Elephas maximus indicus: one gene and its partners. The protein of the gene in region 2 interacts with the protein of the main gene of each other region in a pairwise test. Links are inferred from orthologs where the notes say so. Each region holds a gene or a part of one and is shown on either strand. Other genes may lie near its edges.

Region 1 (7,715 bases), on a different chromosome or scaffold from region 2:
CATTGCTATGTACTTGATGTGATGACTGATGATAATAAAAGAAAGTACAGAAGATACTTGACATTCACATATTTAACATGTGTGGTCTCAGCTCTCTGCACACGACTCCAAAGGTCTAAAACCTGTAAAAATTTCAGTTCCTGCTGAGGTATAAGTTTGAATCACCAGCACTGATGGTCTGTATATGTTGGCCAGTGAATGAACCTAACTGTATTTCTAACACGTCAATATAGCTTTATTTTTCTCTCCTTGCTGCAGAGACATTTTATGAGGGAAATTAGTATGCTGTAGTGGTGTTCAGCAACTCGAGGGCACTGAGTTAGTGGTGTTCAGTAATTAGAAGGTTCTCAAAGGTGCTGGGATAGATCCCTTATGACTATCAAAGATCTATCTATTACATAATAGATCTTGCTCAGGGTTGTCTCCTAAAGGGGTCACTCCACGCCTTTCTGTGCCTTTGTGAATTGTAGCACTCAACTTGACACGGGTTCTGTTCACTGGATAGCGTAAGGCCCGGCAGTAATCATTTCTCAGTGACATGGGCAGTTGAGAGTCTTCTGGGGTAATAAACTTGGATTTACTTCAACAGCCAAGTTTGTACCACTGGAATAGCAAATGATCCTTTTAAAAAGTAACCCAACTAGGCCAACAGGAAAAGTCTCTCAGCCTCAAGTGTTAGTTAGGGAAATCTAAATTAAAACCACAATGATATACCAGCCAGATTGGCAGATTAAAAAGCCTAATAATACTGAGTGTTGGTGCAGGTACAGACGTATACGTTGGTAGAACCACTCTGTGCTGATACGCATATAGTATATGCCCATGTTAAAAGATTCAGATATTTCATGAAACAATACGAGATGGATCTGATAGCTGTCTCAGGTTACTTCATTTAAAAAAAAGTGCTGGTTCTGACCCACTAAATTGTTTTCATAACTCATTAGTAGATCACAGTTCACAACGGTGAAAACACTTTTTGAGAAACATACCAAAAGGTTCATTGCAGCTGTTTGTAGTAACAAAATACTGCAGACAACCTAAGTGCCTACAGCTGTTGAATGGAAAAATAAGTCTTGGTTTATTCATATAATGAAACATTAACAGTGAAAATGAATGAATTACAGTGACAAGCAATAACATGGTTGAATCTCAGAAATAAGGTTGGAGGGAGGAAGCAGCTTACAGAAGAATGCATATGGTATGATTGCATTTACGTGAAGTTCAGAAATTTGCAAAACTAAAGACAGTTTGTTATATCTACTTGACATTTAATACAGAACAATTTTAAATTAAAAAAAAAAAAAGAAACACTTTCAGAAACTGTTAGCAGAAGTCACCAACTGGAGCTGAGTAGCAGTTAAGTGCTACGACTGCTAACCTAAAGGTTGACAGTTCAAGTCCATCAGGCGCTCCTTGGAAACTCTATGGGGCAGTTCTACTCTGTCCTATAGGGTCGCTATGAGTCGGAATCGACTCCACGGCAATGGGTTGGGGTTGGGTGCTTTAAATGGATGTTTACAGTTCAAGTGAGTTTCTCATACAAAAATTTATACACACAATGTTACGTGGCCCTAGCTGCTGTCCCTATACTGTGACAGCACAGTCCTTTCCACGCCAGATTTCCCGTGTCCATTCAACCAGCTCCTGTCCCTTCTGCCTTCTCATCTCGCCTCCAGAGAGGAGCTGCCCATTTAGTTTCATGTCTGAAGAAATTCTTGAGTGTGTTAATCCGGATCTCCGGAAAAGCATTCGCCAAGGCATAATTAAATGCGCAAAGATTTTATGACGGTAAATGTCTATACGAGTGTATGTAAAGGAAAATAAGGGAGCAGGACAAGGCTGAAAGCAGACCGCGCGATGCAGATCTGACCCCTGTGAAGAAGGGAAAGAGGAAGGTTGGGAGAAGCGTCCTAGACTGCCCTGCAGTATAAGAAAAGTTCAGCCAAGCCCTTGGTTTTTTGGAAATCCTTCATCCAAGGTCTGATGACAAGAGGCCAGTCTCCCAATAAAGGGTCTGCCTTAGTACCTCCGCTATGAGTCGGAATCGACTCTACCTTAACGGGTTTTAGGACCTCTGCCGTTCCTGGTAAGGGGCGGGGACCAGCTCGCAGGAGGTGTGGCCTCAGCCTTGGCGCAAATTCAGCAGCGAATTTCAGAGCAGTAACTGGGGCCTTCGCTTCGTTACACACTGTAGGCAATAGAGAGGTGCGTCCTGCAAAAATACAATATATTCTTCCTGACTGGTTTACAGGTTCGACCTGTACCTTCATCTACCTGATCTTGAGTTTTAAGGCAAAGTCCCTGTTTTCCCTCATTGAAACTTTCAATAGCTATGAACACCAGAATCAACACCACAGGTATCCAAACCATAAAGTCAGGATGATTTATGGGACCTGGCTACTGACTTACCTTATCAGGACTCAACCCTCAAGAAGGGACCTTAGAAACTTAGAATAAGTTTGGGCTGTAGGATATCGGGTCAGATATCCAAATGCCTGTAAACAATATTCTTGTAGAGAAAAATTTGAACGCTGCTTCAGGTTAAAACAGAAAGGTTTATTAAGAATTAAAAACAGTTGCAATTGGGAAACTACATAGCCTACTGAAAATGGAACCAGGTATCCCAGGACAGTTTCCTTATACAAGTATTCTTATGGGGTAAAAAACGGAACCAAACCACAGCGAAGGCAATTACAGGAAAATAAATATTGTAATAATCACACTGGTTACGGATTACTAATAGTGTAGTTAGTGATTACAGAGAATTCACAGGATGCTTACTTAAATCATGGTCACAAAGGCCTCCTGCTGGCTCAGTGGTTAAGAGCTTGGCTGTTCAAATTCACCAACCACTCCTTGGAAACCCTATGGGGCAGTTCTACTCTGTTCTATAGGGTGGCTATGAGTTGGAATCAATTCGACAGCAACGGGTTTGGTTATCTTGCAAAAATACTTTGTTGGCAACAGCACCCAGACAGCACTCTTCCTGAGTGCATGTATTTTCAGGGGTGCAGATGGTCACTTGGTTAAGACCCCTCAGGGCATATGATTTCACGTCCTGGTTTTGACCATGGAGGAAAAACATTTTTTTTTTTTTTTGAGAAAAACATATAGCTATAATCCAGATTAAAATGAGATAGCATGGTCAGCATAGTATGCCTCTCTGTCTCACTGACTGCACTGAGAGTTGTCTTTTCCTGAGACATTCTTGTATGGGAAGGAGAGTTAACCCATGATTCAAAGACCCAATATGTGCCAGGACTGTACCCCTGCAGAAAATAGGAGAACCCTGAACTGGTTTCCTCAGTGTGTTGACTCTTGCTAGCTGCTTGTCCATCTTTAATTCTCTGGAAAACAGTAGCCATACTCTAAAGAAACCATCTTTTTAAGTTCCCTCCCATATTTAGAAAAATTCTTGATTTAGTAGCCAGGAATTAGGCAATATTATTAAGGTGTCTTTTTGTACTCCAAAAATAAGGGATGATTTTTATTTAAATTGTACATATTTTTAATTCACAGGATTCAAAATTACAAAAGCCCAACAAGATATAGAGAGACTATCTTCCACCCACCTGCCCGCCCACACCCCCCCCCACCAACTACCAGGTTCCTCTCCCCAAAGAAACCAGTTACCACTTTATTTTATACCTTTCCATATACATTTTATACATATACAAGCACATATGGAGTCCCTGAACGGTGTAAACATTAACCACTGGAACCCACCCAGGGGTGCCTCCAAGATAGGCCTAGCCTTGAAAACTTTATGGAGCACTGATAATTTTAAACCTTAAACCAAAAATGTACCCTGAATTCTCCTTAAAACTGAACAACGGTTTAGCTTAACTAGTAAAAAAAAACGTCTGCTTTGAGCATTATGCTCTTTTAAGAACTATCTTTGTGGGAACAAATAGACAACAGTATCTTGAAAGATTAGATAGAAACTTGGGGGGGCACTGAGTTTATATTAATGAAGGAGGAATAACTCAGAAAAGGGGGCTGAGAATGGCTGTGCTACTGAAAGAATATCATCAATTTCAGTGAACCGTACATGTAGAAACTGTTAAGTTGGTCTATGTGTATGTTTGCAATCAAATTCTGAGCTTAAAAATCTTTGGAATCCTCTCAGTTGTCCTTGCCTGTGCACCTTAGGAAGAAGGGGCTCAGCCTCCGGCAATCACCAAAGTGAAAAGCTGTACATAACCCCCACCCCACTCCACACACACACCTGCCTGCCACACCCCGCCCACCCACCTTTCCCTTTTCGCCTTCACTACACGCACTGTAGTGTCGCTATGAGTCGGAATCAACTCCACCGCAATGGGTTCGGTTTTTTTTTTTTTTTTTTTAATGCACTAAAGTGAAGGAGCCCTCACAGCGGAATGGTTAAGCGCTTGGCTGCTAATCGAAAAAGCAGGAGGTTCAAACCCACCAGCAGAATCCACGGGGGAAAAAGGACCTAGCGATCTGCTCCTATAAAGATCATAGCCTAATAAACCCCATGTGGCAGTTCTACGCTATCCTATAGGGTCGCTATGAGTCCGAATCAGCTCCACAGCACCAAACAAGCAGAAGAACAAACGCACTGAAAGCGGACATCCAGGTAGACTCAGGTCACGTGATACCGCCTCCTCACGTGACGCAGCCCCGTGGGACGAGGCCGAGCCTTTAGCTGCATACGTCATCACTTAGCGCGGACCTGGTGACGAAAACAGCGACAATCACAGTGACGGCTCCAGGGCCTCCGGGTCGGGGCGGCGGCGGTTCGGCTTCACTTGAGCCGCCTGCTAGCCCCGCGCCCCACTCCACCCCACGGGCGGGGGACGGGCCGGAGCGATTGGGTGGGCCCGGGAGCGGAGGTGAGTTGCGCGGAGGGGGCGGCAGTCAGCCCTCTTCCTCCTACCCCTCAGCTCCGGGATTTGGCCCTTCCCCCGTCTGTCGTCTCCTTCCGAGGCGGAATGGGAGAGATGCCCTGGAGAGGAGGAAGACTGGGGGCTTCTGGCAGCGAGCTCGCTCCTCTCAACTCCGCCCTGAGCTGCGCCCCTTGGGTACCTCACCTGACGGTGCCGGCCTTATTCCTGATGCTGTCAGGGGAAGAGACCTCCTTTTCTTTTCTCCCACCTCGAATAGCCAGAACTTAGCCCCTCCCCGAATCTCCCGTGTTGGAACCTCTCTATTCAGATATTAACGGAAGTTCTAGAATAGGTCACCTCAGAAAGGTGAGGGTGAGGGATGTGGCTGAGACTTCCCCTGGTGATAACTTGAAGGACAGGAATCCCAAAGAGGGAAGGTCACGCTGCTTTAGGGTTATTGTCATTTTTACACTAAAACTATAAGCCCAGTCATAGACTAACCGCCCGCCCCACCATCTTCACAATAAAATCGGCATTTGTTCAGACCTTTTTTATATCCCCAGATTTGAAACTGAGTAAACGAAAATCCTTCTAAAAACATCGTTTGACGCATCACCTTCTTTTCTGTGAAATGGATCTTGCAGAGCTATTAGAGGGATTATCTAGTGTTGACAGAATTATATGCGAACTATAAACAGAAGTAGATGAGAATTTAGGAAAGTAGTGAGGAGCTCGTTTTTGCTCTGCAAAAGTTATGGTCGGGAGTTGTGGTGTCTGGAAGACAACTGATTGATTTCCCCACCCCCCACCCCCCGATCATTTCGGAAACTTACAGATTTCAAAAAAGATAAGCTGTCTTAGTCCATCCCACTTCATTACCTAGAAATTGCCCTAGAAGAAAAAAAAAGTGTGACTAAAACTTGTCAACAATCAAGAAAGTACTCCTTAAGCTGCATACAGTGAACTTTGCAAGTGATGAGCTATCCCAGTAAAGCTAGTGAGTTCTGATAGGTTTATAATTCTAATAAGGCTCTTTGGGTATAGAAGAATAAGTACACATACTGATTTTTTAATGTTGATGGACATTTACTAATAATATAGAGTAGGCAGACTCTTCTGTTGAACAGCTTCAACTGATTAATCAACTGAAAGCCCATAGGTAGCTTGCATGGTTTTCATTATGCAGTGTAGACATTGGATTCTCATTTGAGGTTTCATTATAAGAAACCCAGATATATTTGGAGGTCTTCATAAATAATTCTTTGCATACTCTTTAGAAAAAGTTCATTTTCACCATCTCTGGCCATTCTTGCTCTAAGTTGAACACAGTTTTTCTTGTATTCAATTAATGTTTATTGTGTACCTGCTAGGATAGCAGAACTATAAAACCGGATCCTCAGTCTCTAAAATCTTATCTACCTGTGGATATTGGTAGTTATCAGACCTTTAAGGAATTTTATCATTTGAGACAACGATTTTGTGAAAACCTGCAGGACATGTATAATATCTTTCTACTTACAATACAGTTTAGTATTAATTATAATAATGTCAAGTGGTAAGGGCACTCAATGATATTGGAATTCAGAGAAAGAAAAGATCATTTAATTGAAGTAGTAGCCGGATTGTGTTTTGGCAGTGATGCCAGGAGGAAGAGTGCTCTCTACTGGTGGAGGGTTCGGTTTCAGGAAACTTCCCCTTAGCTCCTTCATTTTTAAAGTTAATTGAATATGTTCGGTTTCCTTCAGTCTTTCAAATATGCTCTTTTTTTTCTCTCTCTGTCTGCCTCTGTTTTAGTTGTAGGATCCAAGGACGACTCTTGTTCTTTCTCCAAATTGCTTAATGGGAGGCATTATGGCCCCCAAAGACATAATGACAAATACTCATGCTAAATCCATCCTCAATTCAATGAACTCCCTCAGGAAAAGCAACACCCTCTGTGATGTGACATTGAGAGTAGAGCAAAAAGACTTCCCTGCCCATCGGATTGTGCTGGCTGCTTGTAGTGATTACTTCTGTGCCATGTTCACTAGTGAGGTAAGTAATAAGTTATCTCCTCACAAATGAGACACATGTAATCTTGTAGTTGTCTCTTTTTGCTGAATAATATAGAGGTTTGATATAATAGTGAATTCTCTATTGTGGTGGTTACATAAAAAGGCTCTGGAAAAGATCTGCCACTTAACCTGAGTGCTTTAGTTTCTTCATTTCTAAACTAGGGATAATAGTCATACATAGTAGCGTGGTTATTGTGAAGATCATATGAAATTACATGTAACATGATTAGAACAGTGTTTAGCATATAGGAAAAAACTCAAATGTCAGCTCTTGGGTTTTAACGTACTTTTTATAAAGTTGTTTCCCTGTTTTTCTCCTTCTAAACTTTAGTATTTTTAAGTCACTACCAAGGGGTAGCAACTCATAGCGCCCCTATAGGGAATTGACTCGACAGCAATGGGTTTGGCTTTTGGTTTGACCAAGGGGTAGGGAGAAGGGAAGGAAAGAAGAGGAGTGGGATTCAGTCCTCATCCCATTCCTCTTAACAGTATGTGAAGAAAATCAGTATTCATTCTACCAGTATAGATTTAGGGTAATTTCAAATGAGAGGAAGAAGATTTCATGAATGGTTATATAGGATTATGGAGTGTAACTGGAAAAAGATGCTGACTCTGGAGTGGACACAGTTAACAGAAGGAGTTAGGAAAAGGTCGTCTTGACAAGAAAAACGGCAGTGCTCACAAAGTATTAAGACTGAAGACTATTTAGTAATTGCTTGGCAAAACACTTGAATAGTAGAATAAGGTTGTTGAATATATTGTGAGGTAGTCTTAGAAAGTTGAACACAGGTGAGGGCTGCAACTTTTT
Region 2 (7,385 bases):
TTACCTTTAAAAAAATCTAACCTGGCTGTGGTGTGGAACATAGATTTGGTAGAGGGACTGGGGGCAAGAAGGGAAGCAGGCAGGATAGTTAGGATTGCCTACAGTAACCCAGGTGAGAGATGATGGACGGTCAGTTGGACCCCTGTGATAATGGAAACAGAGGGCAGTGGTTGAAGCTGATGTAAATTTTTGAGGTGGAATTGACAGGATGTACTTATGGATCCCACCACCTGTCTGTCAGTTTGTCGTACTGCGGTGGCTTAAGTGTTGCTGTGATGCTGGAAGCTACACCGCCATGAGTATGTCAAATACCCATGGAGTGTAGCTTTCAGTGGAGTTTCCAGACCAAGACAGGCTAGGGAGAAAGGCCTGGTGATCTACTTCCAAAAATTGTTGTTGTTGTTAGTTGCCATCAAGTCACTTCCGACTCATAGTGATCCCATGTTCAACAGAACAAAACACTGCCTGGTCCTGCGCCATCCTCACAATTGTTGCTATGCTTGAGCCCATTGTTGCAGCCACTGTGTCAATCCATCTCGTTGAGGACCTTCCTGTTTTTCAATGACCCTCTACTTTACCAAGCATGATGTCCTTCTCCAGGGACTGATCCCTCTGATAACATGTCCAAAGTATGTGAGATGTAATCTCACCATCCTTGCTTCTAAGGAGCATTCTGGCTGTACTTCTTCCAAGACAGATTTATTCATTCTTTTGGCAGCTCATGGTATAATCAGTATCCTTTGCCGACACCGTAATTCAAAGGCGTCAATTCTTCTTTGGTCTTCCTTATTCATCGTCCAGCTTTCACATGTATATGAGGCAACTGAAAACACCACGGCTTGGGTCAAGTGAACCTTAGTCTTCAAGGAGATATCTTTGCTTTTTAAGGCTTTAATGAGGTCTTTTGCAGCAGATTTGCCCAATGCAATATGTCTTTTGAATGCAAAAGATGCATTGCATCCAAAAATTAGCCAATGAAAACCCTATGAATCACACCTTAACACTGTGTGATATAGTGCTGGAGGATGAGCCCCCTAGGATGAAACGCATTCAAAACCGCAGTGGCCTCAACAATAGACTCAAGCATACCAATGATGGTGAAGATGGCCGAGGACTGGGCAACGTTTTATTCTGTTGTATATGGGGGTCACCGCGAGTCAGAGCCAACTCAACAGCAACTAACAACTTATGGATTGGATGTGGGGTTTAAGAAAGAAGGCGCATAATGGCAACTCCAGATGGAGCACTTGGGTGGATAAAAAAGCCATTTACTGAGATGGAGGAACAGGAGGAGGAGCAGGAGAAGAAGATGAAGAGCTGGCTTTGAAAGTGTGACGTATGAAATGGCTGTGAGTCGTGGAGCAAGCGGTTGGAAGATCTGACCCACAGATAGGAATATGGGGATTGTTGGCGTAAAGATGTTATTTAAAACCTTGGAGTGGGGCTTTGGACTCCTCCCCTTGTTGCCCTACCCGTTTGTATAAACTATAAGTTATATTCTTATGAGGAGAGAAAGGAAAGCAATCAGTCCATTACTGCTCAAAAAAACTATTTTCTATCTCTTATTATGATAAATCCATTTTAACCCTGATCAATCTCACAAGAGTGAAAAGGGACCTGAGAGAAAGCTAACTCAGGTTCTAGTTTCTTTATCACCATTTAAAGATAGAAATGGCTATTCTAAAAAATTCAGCATTTCTCAGATTTAATATTCCTCCTTCAAAATAGACCCAAAATAAGGCAATTTTCTCTGCAAATAACTGGGCATGCTATCTTTCCAGGATACTTTAAAAACGGGCCATCTTTCCTTCCAAGGGGAAGACAATTTGCTTTCCCATAATTATTAAAATGTTTAAGTACATCTGGACCTTTCTGCTGAGTTGAGATCTGTCACTCACCTAGAATATCCCACACCAAATGGAAATGATGCTCAAAAGCAGTGGAGTTTGAGCAGATCCAGGTCACCATGGTGTAAGTGATCTGGCTTTGGAGAGGGCACATTTGTAAAGTGAAATTAATACATCCTGTTTTCATCTGTGACTTCTCTCTGTTTCCAGTTTTGAACAGTCAGCTGCACTGGTTCCATGATCGTGCACAAAAATTTTGGGGGACGTTTATATGTTTGCTGTTAATCCTAGAATGGACTCAAGTCTTGGACGCCAATCAGTCGGTACTGATCCACATGCTCGGAGGAGCAGAGAGAGAAGTGAAATCTACCTACCTTACCCTTCTGCATTGAAAACCCCAGAGCTGCCCGCAGTACCCACATCTATCTTTGTTCCCTGATCGAAGGCTGTGGAGCAGATGCTGAACATGAAAGCTTCCATTACGTCAGCCCCTTTCCAAAATTTTGGTTTTTCATTTCATGTGATAAGGTTGAAAAGGCCCATTTGACTGTTATAAATTGCCTTCCTCATCAAAGAACTCCAAGACCAAAGTCTATAAACATATCTAGATGCTACGCTTAAATGTAAACCACAGGAAAAGAAAAATGAATTGATATCCAAACTAAATGCCCAGCCCCTAGCCCATCTTCCTCTTTATTACTATAACTCCAGTAAATAAGTCTATAGTCTCTGTTAAAAAGAATGAAAAGCTGACCAACCTCAAGTTGAGAGGTTTATGTGGCCCTAGGGCAAAATACCCCAAAGATCCACCAAACCAGATCCAAGGGTAAATAAGGGGAGCAATTGCCCTGATGTTGCAACTCCTATGTTTATGAAAACAGGCAACTTGGACCCCGCTGGGAGCCATCTCTCTGTCTCCTAATTAACGGTTTTACTTTCCTTTGACCAGTTGCCAGCTGCCCCGGGGTAACCACCATGGCACAGGAGAGCTAACTGCTAACAATTCGAAGTAAAGATGAAGACAATAAAACCCAAAAAGGTTGCAGTGTGACCTAAGGACTGAAGACTAAAAACACATGGGCTGGTTTCTTCTCACCAGGCAGAAGTTTCCAGGCCAGGAACTCAATCTCATTCCATGGATTGTTGATTAAAAGAAGCTTGTAACTGCTAGGCGCCTACTGTCAAAAGGACAAACTAGTGACCCGGCCATGACCAAAACACACCCAGAGCCAAGAGATTTACAGGGCACTTCCTGGTTTGTAAGTCAAAATCACAGCGGAGGGCCTGAGACAGACAGCAGCTAGCAGCACCACCTTTGACTAGAGAGGACATTGGGTACCTGGATTATACTTTTCCTGCATACACACTACATGTGAAATACACCAACGCACATCACCAGAGGGAGACCATGTAACTGATGACCAGTGATGCTGTTTAGAATTCTTTTCCCGCAGCTAGTAGCTTATTGAAGCAATGTCTTTGGCTATCCCTGAAGCTGTTCCCACACAGGTGTATAAGCCTACCTGGTGGGAAAAGCAGGTCATGGGTGGCTAAGTTTGCTCTCAACTACTAATTTAAAGGTTGGTGGTTTTAACCCACCCAGCAGTACCACAAAAGAAAGGTCTGGTAACCTGATTCCGTTAAGATTACAGCCAAAAAAACACTTATGGAGCAGTTCTACTCTGTAATACATGGGGTTGCCGTGCGCCAAGATCGGCTTGATGGCAACAGGTTCAGTTGGCTGTGTTTGTGTGTGTGTGAAAAGCAAGACTTCAAAAGCCCATGTCCAGAAATGTGATTTAACAAATTTTAAGTAGCTGAGTCACTTTGCAGTAGTTTAATCTCTCTAATACTCAATTTCTTTATAAAGTGGGAATGGTGATTATAGGATTATGATGAGAATTAAATGAAATAATGCACATCAGGAAATTAGCATAGGACCAGGCATTCGGTAAACACAATAAATGTCAGCAAAGATGTGGCTGCTAAAGGTGATGATGGTCAAAAGTAAACAGAAGACATTCTTATTTAAACAATAATCCTATATCTTTAGAATTAAAAATCTTTCATAGTGTCACCCTTAAACTTGCTCGTCACTTTTCTTTGTCTACGAACATTAGCTAGCATCCAGTGATGCGTGGTACTGCTTATGGAAAATCTTTGGAAGTTTTGGCAAGGTACTGGAAAAATTCAGGATTGTTTCATTTGCCTGATATAGAATTTCATGCACTTTTCTTTGCACATTTAAAAACAAAAAGACAAGCAGGATTCTGAGACAGGTCCAGTTGGAAGCCCTGGCTTATTTGGGGACTGGTTCTGAGCATGATGATGTCCCAGACCTAACGATGGCCGGAAGGTGCAGTGGCCAGTGTTTGTTTCCTTGTTGATTTCCTTTCCCTGGTTCCAAGCTCATGTTCCCATTGCCTGCAGGAAAACAACATCCAGGGGTGCGGTAGGCCTGACTTGGCAGCCCTAAAGGTGAACAAAAGTGTCCTGCATTTTGGCAAGAGCAGAAGGAAGTTTGAGGGAGGGAGGCTTAGCCCCATCCAAATGGATTTGTCACTGATGCGAACGAGCGGCTGCTCTGAGGGGCTGCTCTCCAACCGAAGTGGCGCCCTGACAGGCTGCCCTCTCTCGGGATCATGGATCTGCTCTGCCCAAACCTTGCAGAAAAGACAGGGGATGTGCTGATTAACCTCTGAGTATACGAAGGCAGAGTGGTCTGCACATATGTCTGGAAGACGAGGTGCAGGAAAGAGAAAGAAGCTTTCCCGAACTACTCTGGAGTCAGAAAACCTCAGCTTCCAAAAGAACTGTCACCTGAGGCCCCTTACACCTGGGAACTGATCCACAGGCAGCAAAGGTAAGATTGCCTGGTTTCTCCACCAGGTAGAATCTCATACAATTTGAGAAAATTTGACTCCTGACTATGCCAGCCTCCCACACCCACCTCTATCAGATGGGCACACACACACACACAAATTCTCTGAGGAGAGCCTTGCTGTTAGTTGCCGTTGTGTCCATTCCAACTCACGGCAACCTCATGTGTGCAGAGTAGGGTTTTTAAGGCCGTGACCTTTCAGAAGCGGATCGCCAGGCCTATCTTCCAAAATGCCTCTGGGTGGGTTCGAACTACCAAACTTTTGGTTAGTAGTCAAGTAATTAACCATTTGTATCATTGAGAAACTCCTAAGGAGAGTTCAGTAGACAGAAATACCTAGTTGTATCTTTTTTCAAAATACCAGAAAGGCCTCAGGACACTTGCTCTTCGCATGCTCATTTTTTCCCCCCGCACTGGTCTTCGCGGAAACGTCTTTCTTCCTTTACTTTCAAGAATGGAAACCATTTGCCAAACAGGTTAGTAAAACTGTAAGCAACCCTGTGAATGGCAATTGGATTGTATACAACTTTATTCTCATCAATATTCAAAACGCAGGCACATACACATTTTGTTTCATTTCTATGATAGGAACAGGTATTATCAGTCCCATTTTACCCATGGAGAAATTTAGGTCCAGAGAAATTGTGACTCAGCCACCGACATGTGTCAACTCCTGCCTCTTTTCACTAAAATGGTGACTGTATGTTCCTAGCCAAGTATCAGGCTACATTCATTGGCACATATTCTGATAAATGGTCCAATGAGAGGATGGAATTTTAAAAATTGGAACTGTCTTGAAAAATGCAGAAATACATCTTCACAGTATCCTGTTTACTTCCATTCCCGGGAATTGAATCCAGTTGGATGAATGTTGATAAACTCTGCTTCCTGTGCCTAGCACTGGGCCAGGCCGTGGTCCCAGCTATACACTCAAGGAGTGCAGAGCCATCGAAGCGGGGAGCTGCACATGGCAGCTGGTGGTAGTGGTAGTTGTCTTAAAGTTGTCTCAGGGTTTAAATGAGACAATGCACGTGAAGCCTTTGCTGGCACATACTAAAAAAATTTTTAAAAACCAGTTGCCATTGAGTTAATTTCGACTCATGAAGACCCCATGTGCTTCAGAGTAGAACTGTGCTCCATAGGGTTGTCAAGGCTGTGACCTTTCAGGAGCAGATTGCTAGACTTTTCTTCTGGGACATCTCTGGGTGGGTCCAAACTGCCAACCTTTTGGTTAGTAGTCAAGTGCTTAACTATTTGCACCAGCCAGAGGCTCCTTAAAAAAACCCAAAACCAACCCCACTGCCGTGGAGTCGATTGCAACTCATAGTGACCCTATAGAGGCTCGCAAGTGCTCAATAAATGCAAACTATTACCCTAGTGGTGCAGTGGCTAAGAGTTAGCCACTAATCAAAAGGTCAGCAGTTCGAATCCACCAGCCGCTCCTTGGAAACCCTATGTGGCTGTTCTACTCTGTCCTGTAGGGTCAATATGAGTCAGAATTGACTCAGCGGCAATGAGGTTTATTAATTTATTTGCTTCTAATCCTGGGTCCAGGCAAGATGCCGTGAATACAGAGAAGAGGGGCCCAGCCTTCAATCAAAGCTTTGTAAATTAGTTGTATGCAACTATGTACAGTTGATAGGTGCTCTGGGATCACACAGGAGGCAACCACTAATCTGTGGGAGTTGGGGTGGGGGTTTGGGAAGCCTGCTGGGTGCGAGAGGCAAGGTGGAAGAGGCTTCAGATCAAGAGGCCTTGTGTGAAGGGAGACGGCACAGAACAGCGAAAAGAGCTATTCAGATTTGGTTTCTAATCCCAGAGTCATCCCCTCCTAGAAGCGTAGCCTAACCAAGTTACTAAATCTCTCTGAGCTTCCATTTTCTCTTCTATAAAATGGAGATGTTTCTATAAAACATAAGTTGGAGAATCATCGTGATAATTAGAAAGAGAACACTAAAAGACCTCTCTCTGTTTCTGGCCCACAGAAGATGCCCAATAAGCAGTAGTTGTTATCACCACTTTAGACCAAGCCTCAAATGAACACGGGGACTGGCACAATCCATGTTCCAGGTAAACACTGAAGAGCTGGTCCTTAGTTATTCCCTCAGACTTTTCTGAGATGACAAAGGAGACCTTGGTGTTTCCACTTCATGGTGCTGGCAGATGAGCCCATCGTCAGATAAGTCGAATGGATTGCATGATCAGATATCATGTGTTATCTCTATCTAGCTATTCAGGAACCTTTCCAGTCTTTACTAAATGAGCGGGGTGAGCCCAACCCTCTCCCACACCTTGGCAGAGCACCAACAGGCAGGAGCTATACCCCAATTCTGCTTCTACGGCAGACACTCCAATCCTTCTCCACCCAGAGTGGCCTCTGAGTACGTGTTCTTTGCTAACTGAATTATTGCTGTTCTCAGCCCTCTCAGTGCACAGAGCTAAGACTTGTGTGTGTGTGTATTTCTATACTAATCTTTACATATTGAAGAGCATAAATTCACACAGGTGCTTCCAATTCCAATCCAACACCACAGAGTTCATTCTTGTTTTGTCCCTTTCCATATTTGTAACTCCCTTTTTCTCTGACAGTGAGATACCTGGCTCCCATTATCCTCAATATATTTCCTTATTTGATCAACCCCCTGACTGTAACCACC
Region 3 (7,042 bases), on a different chromosome or scaffold from region 2:
ATTGATTGGTTTAAATTGTATTTCAACTTACAGAAACAAACAAACCAAAAAAAAAGCAGAAAGATTCCTGGTTATCCAGTAGCTGGGTAACCAGTCTCTGAATTGATGACTATTGGGAACAGCTCAACAGACAGCTCCGATGAGTGAAATAAAACATAATTCAAAAGGGTTTCCGGAACCGCTTCAGTCTTTCATACTAAATCATTTTCTGGAGCTGCTAACAATTAGAAAATGATTCATTTGCTCTTCCTCTTCTCTCTCTTCTGGCACAGTCTCCAGTGGAGGGCTTAATGAGAAGTCAAATGAACACAAGAGGCAACAGACGGAAGATCTTGAAGTGGGCATCAAACGGGCCTGTTTTACTTGGTGATGGCAAAGAAAATTCTATTGAAAATTTGCCAGGAATGAAGATTAAGACGGTAACAACGAAAAAAAATTTTCCTTTATAGTGACTTTCCTTACTAAAGATCTTTTTAAAACACAGTGAATGCAACTAAGCACAAAGGATTATAAAGTTCAAAGAAAGGCTTCTGACCCTGAAAAAATCAGCTCACCTGAAAAGATCTGTGCCTGCAATTCTGACCTGCGGTGCAAATAAAAATTCCTGTGGAAACGACCCGCTGGCCTTTCCCCAGGAACGTTAAGTGGCACTGAAAGTTTGAACTTTGTAAGTTAATTATGACTACAGAACTTCTGACAGAGTAAATGTTAGCAGGTAATTAAGGAAAACACATAGTGCAGAGTGTAAAAGCAATTGTGAAAAATTTATAAAGTAGCAAATTTGAAGAATGCACAATTCAACATGTTGATAACTTAGACAATAACCTAAGAATCCCTAAATGCCATTCTCCTCATCCCTGCAGAATTGCAATGACCGGCTTTATGGTTATGAACAGCTAATTTAACACAAATATTTTGGGTTTATCATTTGTGCTATAGACTCAGAATTCCCTAGGGCAAAAGTCCTACTCCTGCGTTAACAACTTCTTCCTTACAACAGACATCTCCAAATGTGAATAAATAATAATAAAAACTCCTAGCTACCACCTTCCCAAGTTTCCAGAGGTCCTTTCAAAGCCTTTCTATTAAACTCCTGGGTCTGGCATTCAGAATAGAAGACTAAGACAAGTTCTCTCCCATCTATACATACTTCAATTACCTTTGTGTTGAGTTTCTCTGTTCTTGAAAGGTGGGAGTTTGAAAGTGAAACACTTTTTATAGTAACTAGTTCAGCGACATCTAAAGGAGTCTTTGGGGCTAACATTCACACAGGCCAGCTCGAGTAGCCAGAAGCACAAGGAGAATGTGATTAGAGTGTTAAGTTATCCATAGCCATACCACTGCAGAAATAGATATTTTTCTAAAACGAATTCATTTTTCTCTCTCCTCTATCAACCCTGTGGTCTAGAAGAAAGCAGCTCTAGATAAAAAAAAAAAAAGTGGCCTTAATACTAGATAGCTGAGCCACCCCAGTCACAGAATCATAAAATTCCTTACTCTAAGTTTCTTTGAGATGAAGAAACAGGATAATATCGACTTCCTAAAAGGAATTACACCATGTTAGGCACAACCACAAAGGCAAAAACTGACCTACAAGGTAACCAACAGATCAGGATCCGCATTACCCTGCAAGGTAAATCACTGTCTACACGCACCTTCTTCTTCAGGGAAATGGAGAAAATAAGTGAGATCATTAATACAAAGGCACTTGTAAACAGATAAGTATTATACAAGTGGAAAAATACTAGTGGCAGTAGCATCAACTAATTTTCTGTGGTAAATTGAGAAATCAGAGAGTGTGAACACAAGTAACTTAGAGCATTTACATGGAAACAACAAATACGGAGGAAAACGCTTCTTAATCTGCTTTCCGTCGCCACTAGGTCCTTCTTTCCCCCAGAGGTCCAGAAAAGAGAACCACCAGTAAGGAGGAGGATCCAGCTTCTCCAGAGACCACCAGACAGACGTCTGAGCTCTGATGATGGCAGGAACTTCTCTAAAGCATGACTCAGGATTATCTCTGAGGGAAAGCCAGATCGAAATAATGTGTGCATTCCAATTCAAATAAACCCTAAATATCAAAATCCAAAAGACACAAGAGAGAGACGCAGAGAAGGATTCACCCTAGGATTTCTGTCGCTAGTAATGCTTCGCTGAAAATGTCATTTATGAAAATCCTAACCTTACACAATTGAGGAACGGCACCCATGGCCACGCTGACCACTCGATCCTTGATATCCATCGGATTACACAAACTGAAGTAGTGGTTGGGGCTGATGTTTTCAACCAAAGAGCCAATTCCCCCAATCTGCCAACCCTGACTACAAAAAGATTATTTTCCTTTCTACACCTTCGCTCATCTGGAAACGTCTCAATCTTGGGCTCAGGTCTGCGCTAAATGCTGTTCCTAAGTTCTTTCCTATCACTGAATCATTCGTGTCATGCATTTGTGACACAAGAAATGAACATGCCAGGAGGGATGGGAATGGCTAGGTGACCCCAAACATTCTTCGTCAAACCAGGCCACCCCAAACCTCTTCTATCACGAAGTCCTAAAACTGTGTTCTAGAGCCGGTAGACTTGAACAGAACCCTAACTTCAGAGGAATATCCAAATAGGATCTGTCACGCTTCGTCTTCCCAGTCCTACCCCCAGACCCAGACCCCGCTACCGTCAGCCTGGCGGGCGGTTCGGGGGCTCCCGATTACCACGGCCATTTGTCACCCGTGACATCAAGCCTTGAAACACGCCAGACCCGCAAATCTGGGCACAGAGGGCTCAGCGGCACACCTGGGTGTCTCCGGGGCAGAAAATTCCCGAAGCCTGGGCTCCTACGCCTTAAAGTGGGGCAAGCGCCGGCTAATAGCCACTCCCCGCAAACCCATCACCCCGAGCAAACGCGCCGGGTCCCCGCCGCCCCGCAGGCGAAACCCCAGCCGACCCCGGTCCCGACGTGGGGCGGGCGATGCTCCGGGCCGGGTGGGGGCCGCACAGCACCGCGGGGACCCCGGGCCCGCCGAGACCCAGGCCCGGCCGCTCGGCCGCGGGCAGCCCCTCCGTGCGCTCGCGCCGCCCCGGGGCGCGCGGCCAGGCTCCCCGCGGTGCCCTCTGCGCCGCCCGCCATCGCCCGGCTCCGGACGCCCCCGCCCAGATTCTCCTCAGCCCGCTCCCGGCAGCTCCCGCGGGCTTCCCCTCAAGCCGGCCTTCCCGAGCCCCAGCCCCTCAGGCCCCGTGCCCGCCCCACTCACTGCGCGGCGGCGGCGGCCGGGCCGGGAGACGCCGGCGGCCCGAGAGCGCGAGCGCAGGGACGAGCGAGCCCGCGCCCGGCGGCGGCAGCGGCGGCGGCAGAGGGGACGACTGAGCCCGCACCCGGAGTTGCGGCACTAGCCGCCCGGCGCGGGCGGCGCCTCCCGAGCCGAGCCGCCTCGAGCGCGGGCGCCCCCCAGCGGCGGCAGTGCGCGGGAAGCCCGAGACCCGGGGGCCTGAGTTGCTCAGCCGGGCAGGGCCTAGGCGGCTGGGTCAGGCCGGCTCCGCCGCAGCCTCAAAGCCCCGCCCCGCAGCCCCATGGCTCCGCCCCATAGCCCAGAGGACCCGCCCCCCGCCCCGCCCCGCCCCGCCCCGCGGGCAGTCGGGGCTCTGCCCATCCTCAGGCCGGCCATTCACGGAGATTTGGTGGCTCCACGGTTGTTTCTCCTCAGTCGCTCCGTGAACATTTATAAGCCCCTGGCCATGGTGGCCTGGTGGTTAAGAGCTACAGCTGCTAACCAAAAGGTCGGCAGTTCGAAGCCACCAGGCGCTCCCTGGATACTCTATGAGGCAGTTCCACTCTGTCCTATAGAGTCTCTATGAGTAGGACTCGACGGCAACGGGTTTGGTTTGGTTTCGGACCATGTGCAAAACCTGGGGGTTAGAGGGGGGACCGACCACCAAGACAGAGGTGGATCCTAGCGAGGGGAGAAAGCAGACAAGACTGAAGGAAACAGAGAGTAAGCAAAATAATGACAAGTTATGGTAAGTGATAGGAGGGGTGTGATCAGAGGACTTAGATGAAAAATAAGGGGAAGGGCCCGCTGCTTCACATGCAGTGGCCAAGGAAGACATGGATGCCCAGATCTGTGGTGAGCCCCTCCTGGCCCTGACCTCCAGGGGGAGGCCACCCTTACTCAAGCAGCTTCTGGCTATTATATAATTACAGGTGTAATATGGGCTGTGAGAAAGCCCCAGGCCACCACAGCCTGGCCTGATGGGTAGGGCAGGGCAGGGCAGGGCAGGGCAGGGCAGGGCAGGGCAGCTAGGCCTGATGGGTCAGCATAGGCAGCCAGTTGGGGAGAAGGGCAGAGAAAAACCAAAACCCCTTGCAGTGGATTCCAACTCACAGCGACCCTACAGGACAGAGTAGAACTGCCCCATAGGGTTTCCAAGGAGCACCTGATGGATTCCAACTGCCGACCTTTTGGCTAGCAGCGAACTCTTCACCACCACGCCACCAGGGCTGTCAGCAGAGAAAAGAGTGCAAAGGCTCTGAGTTCTGAAGGAGCTTGGGAGCTGCCCAAGGTGAGGCTGGTGGGGGTATTGTCTCCATTTCACTAAGAAGAAAGACAAGGCTGCAGAGGTTGGGAAGCCACTTAAAGCCTCAGAGCGAGCTGGTCTCCAAGCATGGACTTAGTCCTCAGCCCCCTCTTCCCAAGTCCTGTTTCCTTCTTTTTCTGTCCCTAGATCTAGATCTCTGTGCTTTCCCAGGCCAGGCCAGCTATAAGGCTTTCGTTTTGCCATTTCCTCGTCTCCATCAGGACAACCACCGGCCTCAGAAGCTCATCGAATTGCATGTCTGGGTTTCAACTTCTATCACAGTCATATCTGATACTTGGTTTTTCTCAGAAAACTCAAATTGATAGGCTAAATAAATAACATGCTTCGGGAACATAATTGAGTGTTATAGTTATGCCGACATAATTGACGTGTGAAAAGACTACGTGAGGACTCAGGGAAATGCGTGTGAAAATAACCAGTACTCAAAATGTTACACGTAGTATAATTTTAATGTTAAAAACATAAATTTGTTGTTGTTGTTAGGTGTCATCAAGTCAGTTCCAACTCATTGCGACCTTATGTACCACAGAACGAAACACTGCCCGCTCCTGCACCATCCTTACAATCATTGTTATGCTTGAGCCCATTGTTGCAGCCACTGTGGCAATCCATCTTGTTAAAACATAAATATAGGTAGACAAAAATTTTGAAGGAAATAACACCAGATCATGGATCATAGTTCTCTAGGTTGTAGGATGGGAGTGTGAGGGACATTAATTCCTAATATTCTGAATTTTCTATATTTTCTTTCTTTCTTTTTACAAAAGCAAAACAATACTGAAATTACCTAGCACTCAAATCTTCAGGATTTGGTGCCACTGAGAATCCAGAATGTTCTTGGAAGAGTCACTTCCCCTCTTGAGGCTCCTGTTTTCCCAATTAAAGAATGAAAGAGATTCACTTTGGCAGTGTTTTTGTCACACCTGTTCCAAGATGAAGCCTTCATTGCTATTGCAAATTACATTTTTTGTTTATATTTTATAATTTATTGATGGCTTATTGAAATGTAATGGCTTTATATAATGACCTTGTACTCAGCAAACTTGATAAACTGTTCTTTTTAGTTATAATTAGTTTGCAGGTTCTCTTGAATTTTCCATGTAAATAATCAAAGGGCCTACAAGCAATGACAGTTTGCCAGCTTAGCCTGTCCAGTCTTTATTTCCTTTTCCTTGTCTTACTGCACTAAGACCTCCAACACAGTGTTGAGTAGCAGTGATGATAGTGTACATTCCTGTCTTGTTTTTGACTGCTTCTCATGTTTCACCATGAAGTGTGGTGTTTGTGGTAGATTTCTCATAGATCTGCTTTATCAGAGTAAGGAAGCGCTATTGGGTTATTTAGTGTAATTATGAATGGGTGTTGAAATTTAACAAATGTGGTTTTTTCCCCCTAAAATAATGAATTGCACTCATGGATTTTTGTATATTAAACCAACCATCCATACATTCCTGGGATAAACTAACCCTGAGGGTGTATTTTTTTTTTAATATACTGTCAAATTCCACTTACTATTTTATTTCAAGTTTTTGCATCTGGGTGTATGAGTGAGTTTTGCCTACTCTTTTCCTTTCTTAGTCTCTCCTTGTCTGCTATCAAAGTTATATGAGCCTCATAAAATAAATTAAGGAATCAGGGTCTCTCTACTAGAGCAGCTTCTATAAGACTGGGGTTTGCTGTGGTTTGAATGTTCTGTGAGATTCTCCTGTAAATTGTCCGGATCTCTTGGTTTGAAGGGGTGGGGATGGAAAAGATTTACACTAGAAGCTGTTTTACCCCCACAGAGCTCAGGGCTGCTAGCCTGTGGAGGAAGCCAGCTTCTGGTTTGCAGCCATCCCTGTGACCTTGGGCCTCTCTTTTCCAGGTGGCCTTCAAGTGTCCAGGCTCCTGTGATGAAGAGGTGGCCTGGAAGGGGCTGTTTACTATGGCAGCTACATGGCTACAGATGCACAGGGGCCCAGGAGGACACTGAGGGAGGCAGCAGTTGGCAAAACCATTTGGTGCTTTCAGACCAAGATGGAAATTAGGCCTGAAGTTCTGAGTCTCCCCCCTTCCCCTCCTCCCAGCTCTCTCTTCATGGGTGACCTCACCTCCCACTTGGCAGGAAAATGATGCATCCTCAGTGGGGGCTCCCTGGCTCCCTCCCTCCTCTGCCCACTTCTGGGTTTACCTGCATTGTGCTGTCCTCTCATAGGATGGCTGAGGGATTCTGCCTCCTGTCCAGGTGATCCCCTCCCTGTCTCTGGGTCTGTCCACTTTCCAGCCCATTTACCTCTCTAGGCTCAGATCTTCAGCCCCTCGTCTCTCCAGGCCCCCTGCCACCAGCAGATAAACAGCTTCAGGGCTCTATCTGATGTTAATTTTCAGATCTCCCCCTCAACCCTATCTCCCCCCATCCCAGGCTGCTACTCCAGTGTCCTCCTCCTTTTCTTCTTTTGCTGTCTTCCTGACT
Region 4 (6,838 bases), on a different chromosome or scaffold from region 2:
AGGGTGAGAGTTTTCCAAAACTTCTGCTTCAAGCTCTAGACTTAAGTGTCGGCTACGGTGAAGTGCAGCCCTGCCTCAGACAAGGGTGCAGGGAACTTGTGGGTATAGGGAACCACGGTTACCTAGGATTCAAAAACAAACAACAATAAAAACACAGTGCCCCTTCAGTAGATCTGGGCTCACAGGGACCCTACAGGATAGAGCAGAACCGCCCCATAGGGTTTCCAAGGCCACAATCTTTAGAAAGCAGGCTGTCATATCTTTCTCCCAAGGAGTGCTGATGAGTTCCAACCACCGACCCACTGTGCCATCAGGTCTCCTTTGCCCACTGATTATGTTGCCTAAGTTCTGGGACACCTGACAGCCTTCTTTCCATAATGCACACAGGACTGGGCTCATCTCCCATCTGCCTTAAAGGTCAGTACCCACTAATCTCTGTAGGGTGCCAAGTTAGTATCTACTGAACAGAATTATGGAGCACTGGTGGCGCAGTAGTTAAGAGCTCAGGCTCCTAACCAAAATGTTGGCAGCTGGAAATCTACCAGTCACTCCTTGGAAACCCTATGGGGTAGTTCTCCTGTGTCCTATAGGGTCACTAGGAGTTGGAATCCACTCTACTGCAATGGGTCCGATTTTTTTCTCTGGGGAAAACCCTTATCTCAGCTTCTCTAGCGCTCTTCCCAGCGTGCCTTGTGGATCTCCACGGAGCATCCATCTTTCCTCCATTCATGCTTGCTTTTTTCTGTGTCTAATCTGCTCTTTTCTACCTCAAAAACTGAATTATTGGGTAAAACAGAAGTGCGCGACGAGGCAAGAGAGAAAAAAAAAAGCATATTTCTAAAGCGCAGTCATTCGCTGGGCGCTTTACCTGTTTAATGCTCACTGGAGCCCCATAAGGACTGAAATCCTGCAGCACAAACAGACGCGGGAAACCGAGGCTCAGGGAACTGGAGCCAGTCGCGGGCCTGGGCAGAGGCCGTGCTCCTCCCAACACCCCGAATTCTGACGCAGTCCCATCCCACTGCTCAGCCTCTCCCCGAAACCACCCACGTCTCCTTCCTAAGCGGGAAAGCTCGTCCAGGCCGCGATGCACGCCGTGAAGATAACCGGGGCGCGGCCGGACACCCCGAGCTCCCGCCCGCGCTCGTCTGACTGTTTAACGGGCAGGGGTGCAAAGTCTCCGTTCGCCCGCCACCCGGGAGCCCAGTTTGCAGCGCTCCCGGCGGCATCGTGGCGCGCGGGCACCGTACCGGCTCGGCGGGCCCGCCCGTGCTCCGGTTCCACTCCGCGAGTCTGCAGAGGGCCTCTCCGCCTCCCCGGCCAACAAGGACCCGCGCTCGGAGCAGGAAGTGCGGCGAAGAGGCGGGGCCGCGGGGCGCCGGAAGCTGGGGCGCTCTAGGAAGGGTGGCGCGTGGCCGGGGTGGTGCGGTCTGCGCCCCGCGAGCGCTCCTCCCCGGGGCCCGTGGCCCGCGCCCTGCGATTACTTCCTCCCGTGGCCCGTGCCCTGCGAGCGCTCCTCCCCGGGGCCCGTGGCCCGCGCCCTGCGAGCGCTCCTCCCCGTGGTCCGTGGCCCGCGCCCTGCGAGCACTTCCTCCCGTGGCCCGTGCCCTGCGAGCGCTCCTCCCCGTGGTCCGTGGCCCGCGCCCTGCGAGCACTTCCTCCCGTGGCCCGCGCCCTGCGAGCGCTCCTCCCCGGGGCCCGTGGCCCGCGCCCTGCGAGCGTTTCTCCCCGGGGCCCGTGGCCCGTGCCCTGCGAGCGCTCCTCCCCGTGGTCCGTGGCCCGCGCCCTGCGAGCACTTCCTCCGGTGGCCCGTGCCCTGCGAGCGCTCCTCCCTGGGGCCCGTGGCCCGCGCCCTGCGAGCGCTGCTTCCCGGACGCCCGTGGCCCGCGCCCTGCGAGCGTTTCTCCCCGAGGCCCGTGGCCCGCGCCCTGCGAGCGTTTCTCCCCGAGGCCCGTGGCCCGCGCCCTGCGAGCACTTCCTCCCGTGGCCCGCGCCCTGCGAGCACTTCCTCCCGTGGCCCGTGCCCTGCGAGCGCTGCTTCCCGGACGCCCGTGGCCCGCGCCCTGCGAGCGCTCCTCCCCGGGGCCCGTGGCCCGCGCCCTGCGAGCGCTGCTTCCCGGACGCCCGTGGCCCGCGCCCTGCGAGCAATTCCTCCGGTGGCCCGTGCCCTGCTAGCGCTCCTCCCCGTGGTCCGTGGCCCGCGCCCTGCGAGCACTTCCTCCGGTGGCCCGTGCCCTGCGAGCGCTCCTCCCCGGGGCCCGTGGCCCGCGCCCTGCGAGCGGTGCTTCCCGGACGCCCGTGGCCCGCGCCCTGCGAGCGGTGCTTCCCGGACGCCCGTGGCCCGCGCCCTGCGAGCGCTGCTTCCCGGACGCCCGTGGCCCCGCGCCCTGCAAGCGTTTCTCCCCGGGGCCCGTGGCCCGTACCCTGCGAGCGTTCCTCCCCGGGGCCTGTGGCCCGTGCCCTACGAGCGTTCTTCCCCAGGGCCCGCGCTCTCCTGAGCGTTCCTCCCCGGGGCCCGCGCTCTCCGAGCTTTCCTCTCTGGGGCCCGCGCCATCCCAGCGTTCCTCCCTGTTGCCCGCGCTCTCCAAGCTTTCTTCCCTGGAAGCCCGGGGCCCGCGCCCTCTGAGCGCTCCTTCCCGGGGCCCGTGGCCCGCGCCCTCCGCGCCCTTCTCCCCGGTGCCCGGGGCTCGCCCCCCCAGCGTGAGGGCCTGAGCCCCGCGGAGCAGGAAGCACTCCTCGGCTCGGGCACCTGTCCGGGAACGGCTTGGCTGTGGGCGGCGCTGAGCCCGGCCTCCCGGGGTCCCTCGGCGTCCGCCTTCGCCGTGCTTTGTGCCGCAAGCGTTGGGCGCTGGGCGCGGGATGGACTGCCCGCACTCGGCTCTGCCTTCATTTTTTTTTTAATGCATTTTTAAGATACCTGAGTGTAAGGCAGGGGTCCTTCTGATCAGTAGTGGTGAGGTTTTCTTCCTACTGTCGATTCCTTAAAGCTGGTGCTATAAATACTCGTTATGTGTGCGTCAGAGATGACCCGCAGAGCCCAGTACAGTGAAAGCGGAAGGGGATGGAGATGAGGAGGCCTGGTTTTGGTCTCTGGAATGAACCTGCTGTGTGGCTGTGTCCTCGTGGGGAATCATGATAGGTGGTGGCGTGACAAGTTTTTAGGGGAAGGGCTTGTTTGGGGGACGCGGACTGGGTCCGGCGGGGAGCGCCTGGAAGGCCGCCTCAGCTTCTATTCAGATTGAGTTTGGAAGGGTCTGAGGGGTTTCCCCAAGTCGCCCACCGCCTCACCGCGCACACCCTTCTTGGAACTACCGCTGATAACCGTTGCCGGCTATAAAATTGTGCATGTTTTTATATAATTATTAAAGAGATCAGAAAAACATGGCACAGGGCAATAGAAAAGACCATCAGTGCCATTTCTGAGGTCACAGACTCCAAGAACGCGTATCTGATTTTCTGGCGCTTCGGCAGTCTATTCAGCAGCCTAGGCCCTCAGTCTGGTGGAACGCTGTTTCCTGCACACAGAATGGCAGAAGATGCCGTTTTACACCCAAGGCTGGAGGATACCGTGCGCGTTCCGTAAACAATGGCTCCTGTAATAATCGTGAGTTCTGATCTGCACATCCCGGCTCTGAGCTGCTAATCCAAACAAAAGTTTGTTAACTATTAATTTAGCCTAACCGAGGAAGAATGATGGGAATAAACACTTGGTTCCATCTAATTTCTCACTCCAGCGGACACGTCATTCTTCATCCCCCTGGTCCAGCCCGTACCTTCGATAATTGAATTCTGTGCTGTTCTTCGTGGGTGCCGGGAAAGCAAAAGGAGAAATACTTCATCGTTAGCTGTAGTTTGTTTTTTTTCTGTGATGAGACTCAGGCTTGAAAGAGCTACATAGATTAAGATGATGATTTTTAATGTCAGGTTAACTTTATTTGGCTGTCCTGTTGCACAAAAATTTATTATATTCCCCCTCCCAATTCCGCCGCTCGGGCCTTGTCACTCCATCTGTAGTCTTCGGGTCTTCGTAGATCCATTTCCCTTCTTACCAACCTACAGCCAGTACATCACCAATTGCCGCTGGTCCTTCAACCACAGCATCACTAAGCTTTCTCCCTTTGTTCTGTAAAGACTGTCGTACGTAATTTAGTTACTTCTCATCCTTCTCCATTTTGGTCAACACACACGCTCCCCTCTGCAATACATTCAACATCATGCTTGCTGCAAACATTACTCTGAATGCGCCCGCGTTTCACTAGAAGTCCCTCATCTCAAAGATGACATCATTCATAATGCAGGAAACTCTCCTGATTCGTGGTTTCAGAACTTGAGGTTTCAAATATTCTGCGCCAACAGCCAACCCAGGCAGCTGAAGGAGAAGATGCATTCCTTGGTATATCTTGCTCATTAACACCTTGTAACTCCAAACGTAACTGTAGGTGTTATATCTCTCTCGTTAATACCTCGTATTTTGGTTTATAATTGAGAACCTTTCTGCACTTACCACAGATACAGAGGTTTCTTACAGTTTCAGTCGGATTTACAGCACGTTTTCTCCAGCAAAGAGGGGGGGCTTCGCATAGGGGTGAACACACCAACGCTCATAAGGATTATTGTCACAGGCTTTGCCTTGGCTCCTCTACTTGCAGGCCGGCAGGTTAACTACATCTGATCTCTAGCCTGGCCTGGAATAATTCAGGAATTTGGAGGTGGGGATCCAGATTAAAAAGAAGTCAAGGTAAGCTGCCTCTGGGTCTGCCTCAGAAGGGGCTTTGATGGTGTTCATAGGTGTCTGCCCTGCCAAGATACTGCTGACCGCTTCTCCTACTTCCCCTCCTTACCAAGGAAAGGATGTGACTGTAACCCAGGAAACCAGGTCAAGCTGGGGGTCTGGAAAGTAGCAGTCTTTACATCAAGTTTGTAATGGGAGAAATGGCACAGGTGTTGGATCAGACCAGACTTTAAATTCTAATTCCCTCCAAGTGACCATCAGAAGGTACTTAGATTCTTTGTTTCTTCATCTATAAAATAAACAACAGTTATTCACTCAATTCATTTTTATTAATTCTCTACTATGTTCTAGGTGCTGGGGATACTACAATGGGCAAGACAAACTGGTTCTTGCTCGCACAGAGCTTACCTAGGGCCCTTCTCTCTCCGCTGCCACAAATAAAGTCCCAGTAAATGAACCTCGTTGTCGCTGGCTCAGTTAACGTCATAGGATAAGTTGCCTGTTAGAACATCTTTGTTCTTAATTCCATGGTTATCAGGATGAAAAAGTTCTTTTCATAGCTCAGCAACTGCACTTACAGGGAAAGTACCACTTCTACTGTTTTTCAAAAGAACAACTCTTTGTTTCCAGTCAGCAATCCCAGTTAAAGGGAACTGTTTAAACCTTAAATAAGGGGATGACTTATCTGCTAAACCACAAAAAAAGCAAATGAAAGTTTTAGAATAAAAGATAATTTAAATATGTGGCCTTGTCAATTAGAGCATGAGGTCAGTTCATGTTTAATGAAAAGACTTCAAAAGGACTAAATATTCTGTCAAAAAATTCAGAATTTGTATCTATTTTTACCGTCATGAATCTTCAAAATTGTAATGATGGTCAATGAGGAGATGTTAACTTGGCATATCCCCAAACTGGATGCTTTGCATATTGTATATCAATAACTGTTTGTTGACCAAACAAATAAATTACAGTGAAACCTCCAAAAGCTGAAACCTGTGTAAGGCAGAAACGTCTGAGAGGAGGAAAAGTCAAATATTTTCCACTAATAGAGAACGATAGAAAAGTGGTAAGACTGCACCCTACTGAAGGCAGAAAACTGTGAGACCCAGAAAAACAAGGCAGTCACATTGAGTCCCGGCTCTCACCCGTTTCACTGTAACAGAAATAATCACTCTTTGCCCAATTTTTCAGAGCACCTAATACATAAAGATAAGTCTTCATCTGAAAACTCTACTTATACCTCTGTACCATGTTTTTATGCGAATAACGCACACACTATTTTTTTTGCCAACCTGCGCGACCCTCTCATGCGTGTTGTGCTATGCGCGTTATGTGTGTGAGTGCGTTATTTCTCTGGGCAAGTTATTTGCCGAAAATGCGGTATCTCTTTTATCTCATTGCACTAAATAGGCCTGGAGAGACATTTGATAAGTGACACTTGGGGCTGGTGAGCCCAGGAACAAAGGGTGAGAAGAGTTGTTTACAAGACATGTGCAAGATGTTGGTCTTGGCGCACAGATGACCATCTCACCTACCAGAACTGAAGCCAGAAACGTGCAGCAGGGAAGGCTGTTGGCTTCTTGGCGGTGTGTCAGCACTTCGCATGACTTGCTTTTCCTCTGCAGAGCTGAACTTGTCGCCTCTCTCATACATAACTGGTTGAATTTGATGGAAATTACATATCTTATCACTTCTTAAAAGAAAAAAATAAAATGTAAGTCTAAAAGAAATGGGCAATTTTCTTGTACCATTTTCTATTTCTGTGTAAGTTACCAAGTGCCAATCATTCTTACTTTTTAAAATTCAGATTTGTCAAGCAGCATGTAAGCTTTCAGTGTCATACAAGAAAAGATAATGCTTCCTGGGGAACAGTCACTTATGCTGGTTCTGTAAAAAGGGCCTAGCAAAAGCGAATTTATCAGATTGCTGGTTTTACAGAAATATTAATGATCTCATTAAATTAGACCCTCTACTCTGGGGTCATCGTGGAATATACTAAAGGGTAATCAACGAGGTGTTACGGTTCTGGATATAGACTCGCCACTCGTTTTGCAGTGTGTTTTATCTGCTGGAACAAGGTGACTGCCGAAGAATCACCGTAAATGA

Evidence for each region.
Region 1: the proteins of LNX1 (region 2) and KLHL12 interact in binary tests that used the Homo sapiens proteins (3 or more experiments, as listed by UniProt). The two-hybrid records come from large-scale screens. The link is inferred for Elephas maximus indicus from reciprocal best matches to the Homo sapiens genes LNX1 and KLHL12.
Region 3: the proteins of LNX1 (region 2) and KCTD6 interact in binary tests that used the Homo sapiens proteins (3 or more experiments, as listed by UniProt). The link is inferred for Elephas maximus indicus from reciprocal best matches to the Homo sapiens genes LNX1 and KCTD6.
Region 4: the proteins of LNX1 (region 2) and DCTD interact in a two-hybrid assay, tested with the Homo sapiens proteins (2 studies listed by BioGRID and IntAct). The link is inferred for Elephas maximus indicus from reciprocal best matches to the Homo sapiens genes LNX1 and DCTD.

Annotation. Positions count from the first base shown.
Region 1 is NC_064836.1:11,645,652-11,653,366, reverse strand, and holds the start of KLHL12 (kelch-like protein 12), read left to right. Parts: upstream 1-4,700; 5' UTR 4,701-4,859; intron 4,860-6,647; 5' UTR 6,648-6,692; coding exon 6,693-6,887; intron 6,888-7,715. UniProt on the Homo sapiens protein: Substrate-specific adapter of a BCR (BTB-CUL3-RBX1) E3 ubiquitin ligase complex that acts as a negative regulator of Wnt signaling pathway and ER-Golgi transport.
Region 2 is NC_064823.1:107,994,608-108,001,992, forward strand, and holds the start of LNX1 (E3 ubiquitin-protein ligase LNX), read left to right. Parts: upstream 1-4,385; 5' UTR 4,386-4,710; intron 4,711-7,385.
Region 3 is NC_064838.1:63,072,944-63,079,985, reverse strand, and holds the start of KCTD6 (BTB/POZ domain-containing protein KCTD6), read right to left. Parts: upstream 3,006-7,042; 5' UTR 2,243-3,005; coding exon of another isoform or gene 2,183-2,242; 5' UTR 2,055-2,182; coding exon 1,827-2,054; intron 1,421-1,826; exon of another isoform or gene 1,265-1,420; coding exon of another isoform or gene 1,160-1,264; intron 584-1,159; coding exon 555-583; intron 1-554. UniProt on the Homo sapiens protein: Probable substrate-specific adapter of a BCR (BTB-CUL3-RBX1) E3 ubiquitin-protein ligase complex mediating the ubiquitination and subsequent proteasomal degradation of target proteins.
Region 4 is NC_064839.1:80,975,616-80,982,453, forward strand, and holds the start of DCTD (deoxycytidylate deaminase), read right to left. Parts: upstream 3,023-6,838; 5' UTR 2,918-3,022; intron 1,357-2,917; exon of another isoform or gene 1,251-1,356; intron 1,025-1,250; exon of another isoform or gene 869-1,024; intron 1-868. UniProt on the Homo sapiens protein: Catalyzes the deamination of dCMP to dUMP, providing the nucleoside monophosphate substrate for the thymidylate synthase/TYMS.